Arabidopsis thaliana: one gene and its partner. Each later gene encodes a partner of the first gene's protein in a complex. Each region holds a gene or a part of one and is shown on either strand. Other genes may lie near its edges.

Evidence for each region. Proteins that work in one complex are often made in the same cells at the same time.
Region 2: RPB5D (region 1) and NRPE3B share a complex: the UniProt entries of both Arabidopsis thaliana proteins name them as parts of the RNA polymerase IV and V complex.

Annotation. Positions count from the first base shown.
Region 1 is NC_003071.7:17,226,627-17,230,381, forward strand, and holds the start of RPB5D (RNA polymerase II fifth largest subunit, D), read left to right. Parts: upstream 1-2,133; 5' UTR 2,134-2,399; coding exon 2,400-2,639; intron 2,640-3,215; coding exon 3,216-3,392; intron 3,393-3,481; coding exon 3,482-3,595; coding exon of another isoform or gene 3,596-3,667; exon of another isoform or gene 3,668-3,672; coding exon of another isoform or gene 3,673-3,690; coding exon 3,691-3,755. Other genes in the region: AT2G41330 (Glutaredoxin family protein), read left to right, coding at 441-1,649. UniProt on the Arabidopsis thaliana protein: DNA-dependent RNA polymerase catalyzes the transcription of DNA into RNA using the four ribonucleoside triphosphates as substrates.
Region 2 is NC_003071.7:6,710,779-6,714,533, forward strand, and holds the start of NRPE3B (DNA-directed RNA polymerase family protein), read left to right. Parts: upstream 1-2,116; 5' UTR 2,117-2,243; coding exon 2,244-2,692; intron 2,693-2,881; coding exon 2,882-3,119; coding exon of another isoform or gene 3,120-3,140; exon of another isoform or gene 3,141-3,335; coding exon 3,336-3,608; 3' UTR 3,609-3,755. Other genes in the region: FUT4 (fucosyltransferase 4), read right to left, coding at 1-11, 104-266. UniProt on the Arabidopsis thaliana protein: DNA-dependent RNA polymerase catalyzes the transcription of DNA into RNA using the four ribonucleoside triphosphates as substrates.

The DNA of each region.
Region 1 (3,755 bases):
TTTCTATAAGGTTGGATATTAATTTGCTCTGTTTTTATTACCCTAGAAAAATTATATTAGTGGGAGTCATTGGCTAGTTCACGTTTGGAAGTTATGCAATTTTTGAGGATCTTGACAGTTTACTTTCTTTGATTTCAGTTATAATTACTTTTCTGAAATTAAGCTCTAAAAATAAGGATCAAATGGATACTTACCTTAGTTATCAAATCAAAGCAAATTCGATATGGACGAATCAACATCACAATCGTCTTCTTTAGTGTTTTCACCATCTTCCACCTCTAACTTACTTAGACAGCTCCTTTCCACCTGTTTCTTCTCTCTCTGTCTTTCTTTTTTCTCTTTCTTCTTTTATATTCTCCGACAAAAGAAAAAGTACAAGATACCCAGAAAAAGAGTGTAGAAACTACATTTGTTCTTCTTCTCTGTTCTGCTTCGAAATTATGGGTTCCTCTGTTTCTAAAACCGCTTCCTCTGCTTCTGCTTCTTCTATAACATCGATTTTGAATTCACCTCCGGAGACGGAATTCAACATCCCTTCTTCATCGGTACCTAAAGCTTTCACATTTCCGATGCCGTCGATTCATCATCCACCTGCTAAAAAAGGCGACACACACCACTTTGTCTCTCTTACATCGACCACTTACGGTTCTCTTGTTCTCGACGACAGACAAACATTGCCTCACATCTCCGTTTCCGGGAAGAGTAACAAGAAGATGCCTGAAACAGAGGAGGCTCGCGACTCGTTCTCTCCTGACTCAGTGATCAACACATGGGAGCTCATGAACGACCTCGACGACGAATTCGATTCCGCGAATTCCGATACAAGTAAGAGTAATTCCGTCGTAAATTTGGATTCCTTTTCTAAACCCATCACGAATCGAGACGTGGTTATTAATGGGTCTGCGTATGGATCTTACGAAGATGAGGAAGATTGGAGATTATTGCCTTTTAAACCTAAGCAACCTCTGTGGAAACATATGTCTGAAGAATCATTTCTCTCTGATTTAGATCCTAACATTATCTCATCTTACAAAAGAGCACTGTCCTCCAAACAGCTAGGCAAGAACAGTAGCAATGGCCACTCAAATCATTCGGTTTTAGTCAGTTTACCAGAATATGTATCTTCTAGTCCATTGAGTTCTCAGACTTCGGAAAAAGACCAAGAGAAACCAAGATTGCTTGAAAAAGAAGATAACGAGAACAAGATAGTAGTATACTTCACTAGCCTCAGAGGAATTCGAAAGACGTATGAAGATTGTTGTTGCGTTAGAGCGATATTGAGAGGGTTTCAGGTTGCGGTAGAGGAGCGTGACATCTCAATGGACTCCAAATACAGGAAAGAGCTTCAGAATGCACTCGGCGAAGAGAAACCGGTTTGTTTGCCTCAGGTGTTTATAAGAGGCGTCCGCATTGGTGGAATTGAGGAGATCAAGATACTCAACGATGGAGGTGAACTGGCAGAGATGTTAAAAGATTTTCCTGCTTGCGAATCCATTGGAGCCTGCGATAGCTGCGGAGATGCAAGGTTTGTGCCGTGTACTAATTGTGGCGGTAGTACTAAAGTGTTTGAGGAACAAGAAGATGGGTTTAAGAGATGCAATGGATGCAATGAGAATGGATTGGTACGTTGTAACAAGTGTTGTCTTTAGTAATTGGATTCGTTTGAGTGATGTTGTTGTGAAAATGTGAAGAGAAGAAAAAGAATCTAAAGATATAACTTTTGACTTAAGATATGTTTGGTTGGTTGTGTTCTTTGAATGATTTGTTTGTTTTCATGCTGTATATTATAAGAAGTGGCCTAAAGCTCAAACCTAGAATGTCAAGCCTCAATTGTTTCTTCACGTTGATCTTTGTAATTTACATGTTATAAAATGATTTTTTTTTCCAAACAAATACAAACAGGATGAAAATATTTATGTAAACCTAGAACTATTTTATTTCTTTGAAAATAATAGCTAAACCTTTTTTTAATATGGATATGCAAACTGAAAAATTAGAGTTTGCTGTTTTGGCCTTTTGGTCTTGTACAAATTTGTTTTTGTTACATTTTACAGATGACCTGTTACGGCAGTAGCGGTAACGAAAATGTTACTAGGCATTCCACAGTAATTGTCTCTTAACGTCATCTACTATCTTATCTCTTCTAGCTATTTTAGTATGGCTTACCATTTTTCCAAAAACCAGTGTCACTAAAGTTACAGAACAATCGCCTTTGACTACATCACCTGCTTGATCATTGGCTACCATCCAAGTCTGTTTGTAAACTTCATCCGCTGTCACGGTAAAAACGTCACGGGTAAACTGATTATTGAAAACGACAACGGGTCTTATCATCTTCAAACCCCTCACATTACTCAAGCTTTGCTTCCTTCCCCGAGACCGAGAGAGAGAGAGAGACGATGGAGGGGAAAGGGAAAGAGATAGTGGTTGGACATTCCATTAGTAAATCAAGTGTAGAGTGTCACAAATATTACCTGGCACGTCGAACCACCATGGAGATGCTCCGAGACAGAGGATACGATGTCTCCGACGAAGATATTAACCTCTCCCTCCAGCAATTTCGAGCGCTCTATGGGGAACATCCTGACGTAGATCTACTTCGTATCTCAGCCAAACATCGCTTTGATTCTTCGAAAAAGGTAATTGGAATTCGATACGAATACGAATGTGATTTCGATTTCTGATGGTTTTCTTTCTCTGCATGTTGATTTTTCTGCCTAGCTTTTGAAATCTACTTAGTGTTTTCCATTGACTTGATTTAGTTGTATGTAATATGCAATTTGTCTGAAGAAAGCATTCTACTTTTAAAGACTTCCTCTGATTTCCAGCTTGGTTCCTAGTTAGGTTTGGTTTTATCTGATTCCTCTGTTTTTGAAACAGAGACGTTGTTTCTTCTGGCAAAAATCTAAATGGTTCGACTGGTTTAAATTTGGTTAGATAAGAATGGTTAGGTAATTGGGTTTGTTAGCACTAATCAGTTAGTTAATGTGTAATTACCATAGTAATACTTGTAAGGTTAAGAGTTCTAATAAACAATTTTCACATTATTCTCTGTTCTTGGCTTCTCCTATTCAGAGTTAATAATATAGTACTTGGCTTAGGCCGAACTGCAAAAGAACTCCTCAGCGAGGTTGTTTCCTTGAAATTTATTATCGTCGTTTGCTGTTGTCACTGAAGTCACAAGTACATAGCAATTTCTCTGATTTGAATTTCAGATCTCGGTAGTGTTTTGTGGAACTGGTATAGTTAAAGTCAATGCGATGCGCGTCATTGCAGCAGATGTGCTTAGCCGAGAAAATATAACCGGACTGATACTGGTTTTGCAAAGTCATATAACGAACCAAGCTCTTAAAGCCGTTGAACTTTTCTCCTTTAAGGTCGAGTTATTCGAGGTAATATATCTTTATCTTGAGTACCGTGTTAGGTTATGTGTTCCCACATTTGGCTCATAACATCTTGGTTGCGCTTGTTGTGTTGTTAGATTACCGATTTGTTGGTTAACGTAAGCAAACATGTCTTGAGGCCAAAACATCAGGTTCTGAACGATAAAGAGAAGGAATCACTTCTCAAGAAGTTCAGTATTGAGGAGAAACAAGTAAGCAAGTTTTTTGGTATTTGGATCATTACTAGTACTAGTAGCTCTGACTCTGAGCCAGCTTTTCTCTGAATTAGAATGTTTTTTTTGGTTAGCTTCCTCGGTTATCGAGCAAAGACCCGATTGTGCGATACTATGGACTAGAGACAGGGCAAGTCAT
Region 2 (3,755 bases), about 11 Mb from region 1:
TTCGGATTCGTCTGAACATATAACAAAAAAAAAGGTCAAAAGGAGAATTCTTTGAGCTAACAATGAATGACAAAACATGGATGCTTATTTTTTTCTTTCTTACCGTTGATTGTAGCAGCAAAAAGTTTATTGTTGAAGTTGTTTGAGAATGAAAGTAACATAACAGACAAAATTAGTAAGGTACTAAAGACGATGGTTATCAGAATTTTCGTCTTCAATCCCAAACCCTTGATAACTTCGCCGGAGATCTGAAATATATGATACATGTTGACTTTTAGTTTGTGAAGATGATTCAAAAAGAGTTTACAACGCTTATATAACTTGATTACAACTTTTAATGTCAATCACTGATCAATAAGATAAAACTTTGAATATTCTAATGTGTCATTGTTAAGTTGTGACTATCAACGAACTCCAAACGTGACTCTATTTTGTTTAATAGAAGAAAAGTCTTTAAACTCCAAATTGTGATTTTGTATTATATAATATTCAGAATTATCGAAGAAACTTCCTATGGGAGAGCTCTTGTGAATTATTAACAATTTGGAATCCAAACAACTAGGATTTGTCAGGCACGTTGTGAAGACCATGACATTGATGTATTGAAATATGCAATAATTTGTAATTACATAAATATTGAGATCTGTTTGACATGCCCAATCAAAACATACAATCATGTCAATAATTAAGTGATCCCAAATTGTTTAAACGATTTACCTTAGTGATCAAAGTCCTAAACTCGTTTAAAAAACTAATGGTCAAAAGATTCCTAAAAAATTGCAAGTAGGCCACGAAACATAGAGAAAGTGATATGAACTTTAAGTTTCTAACAATACACCAATAAAATTATGGTCCAGATTTTGATCTATATGTAATAGGTTCATGAACTTAGTTTTAAAAGTCACAAACGGTATACGTAGATTATTGTTAACATGAACGACTAACAACGACATAACACGCGCAATTCATATGACTCTAGATGTTACCCTTGATATTCACATGCATGTAAAACTCTCAATATGCTATTTGAAAGTCTCCGGGGGTTGCCACGTCATCACATCGCTCCAAAGGCCCCATTTGTTTTTTCATTTTTTTTTCCTTTATTAAATGTTTTTCTCATCGACCAATCGTCCTCTGACTTTTTTTATTTTGACGAGGGAAATGTATTCAGATTCGAGCGGAACCGCGGTTGGCCCGGTAAACCCGATGACTCAGTCACTAATCCAGTTTGGCTCCAACACTACAATCCGCTAATTTTCAATCAGGTAAATTTTGAAAATCTCTAATAAATTCCGGTAATGGTATAACCCGCGATATGGTACTACTAGTTGAAACCGTCGTGCTTAAAAATGTTGATTAAAATTCAACTTTTTTTTTTTGGCTAAACTGCAAATATCATATATATGAAAAGGATGGTTTTACAAGGAAGTTAAACCCGGAATTGGTTTCTTGGCAAAATAAAAATAAAAAAGGAAAGCAATATTAGAATTTTGGACCAGACATGATCAGTGCACTTAAAGCCCCAAAACCCACTAAAATTCTATTTTTAAAAATAATTTATATTTTCTGTTGGATAAAATATATTATATGTAATCTTTTAGATTTAGGTCAAGATTTAATTGTGTCAATGAAAATAAGCGGAATAATTATGAAAATAAGCGGAATAATGATGAGTACAACTTGTACATTGTCCGAAACCATTCACATAATTACCATTAAAATTAATTATGTAAAAAAATTTTAATTGTAATTAGAAAGAATAATTTTGGAAAAACACTATATAAAGATTAAAACAACAAATTTACCATTATTCTTTATGAACCAATGCATTTTTAATCCTTTTTACTCTTTATATAATGTTTTTAATCCAAGTTACTGTTAAAAATATGGAATTTCGATTCTTTTTAATATTTGTATTTCCAAAATTATTATTATGTAATTCAAATTATAAAGATTAAAAAGTCTTAAAATAACATTGGGTCATTATTTGAATTGATGTAAACAGAAAATCCATTGTAGACATTTTGACCATTCCCAATAACTGTTATGAGAAGCCTGAAAATGCCCAGTAAACAAAAGAATAGGCCCATATAGGCCCAACTTAAACTACTATAGTTCTTCTTATACCTTTTTCCACTCTCACTCACTTTGCTCTCTCCAAATTTCTTCTTCTTCTCCGGCGAAGAAATCGAAAAGTCATTACCCTAAGAGTCCCAGAGTCGTCAGAAGGAACAGCTTTTGAAATGGACGGTGTCACCTACCAAAGATTCCCAACGGTGAAGATCCGTGAGCTTAAAGATGACTACGCCAAGTTCGAGCTTCGTGAAACCGACGTTTCAATGGCCAACGCTCTCCGTCGCGTAATGATCTCCGAAGTCCCCACCATGGCAATCCATCTCGTCAAAATCGAGGTTAATTCCTCTGTTCTCAACGACGAGTTCATTGCTCAACGACTTAGTCTCATCCCTCTCACTAGCGAGCGTGCTATGAGCATGCGGTTCTGTCAAGATTGTGAAGATTGTAATGGAGATGAACATTGCGAGTTCTGCTCTGTTGAGTTTCCCCTTAGTGCTAAGTGTGTTACTGACCAAACCCTAGATGTTACTAGTAGGGATCTCTACAGTGCTGATCCTACTGTTACTCCTGTTGATTTCACTAGTAACTCATCTACTTCTGATTCAAGCGAGCACAAGTAAGTCCCTTTTCATCATTGTAGTGATTATTTGTTCTTTATGAATTGATTGGAATTGCTAAGCTTAGATATTACACAATGCTAAACAAAATTTGACATCTTTAGATGCCCTTTGCATGAGTCTTCCTTTTGGTAGTTCTGTGGCTTTTTTTTCTGCAGTTTCTTAGACTGTTATTGTTTTGGTTTCAGGGGAATTATCATTGCGAAACTACGCAGGGGACAAGAGTTGAAGCTTAAAGCATTAGCTAGGAAAGGAATTGGGAAAGATCATGCGAAATGGTCTCCTGCAGCTACTGTTACGTATATGTATGAGCCTGACATTATTATCAATGAAGAGATGATGAACACTTTGACAGATGAGGAAAAAATTGACTTGATTGAGAGCAGTCCTACCAAAGTGTTTGGCATTGACCCAGTCACCGGACAGGTTAATTTCGATGTTCTGTAAGAATAACATCTATACAAGTTTATAGCTTTGAGACTTCAATATGATTGTACTACTTTATAGGCTACCATGCTTTGAAATATATGTATGTGATGTGGTGTATGAATTTTCTTTAAGTGTTTAGTGCGTTTAGCTCATTTCTTTTGCAGTCTATTGTTTGAATCATCACAACTGTAATTATAATACTTTGCTTCTTAGGTTGTGGTGGTTGATCCTGAAGCATACACTTACGATGAAGAAGTGATCAAGAAAGCTGAAGCAATGGGGAAACCGGGACTCATTGAGATCCATCCGAAACATGATAGTTTTGTATTCACTGTTGAGTCCACAGGTGCATTGAAGGCTTCTCAGCTGGTACTAAATGCCATTGATATCCTGAAGCAGAAGCTTGATGCAATCCGTCTCTCAGATAACACTGTAGAAGCCGATGATCAGTTTGGTGAACTCGGTGCCCATATGCGTGAAGGATGAAATCGTAGCTCTTTTTTTACCTGTTTGATCAGGGTTTAAGTTTCTTCTAGACCAGACTAATATATTAACCGTAGCGGCACTGCCTTGTTTGATAGCAACATGTAAAGTGGCAGTCTTGTCTTTGTTCCCGACCTCTGACTGATCCTT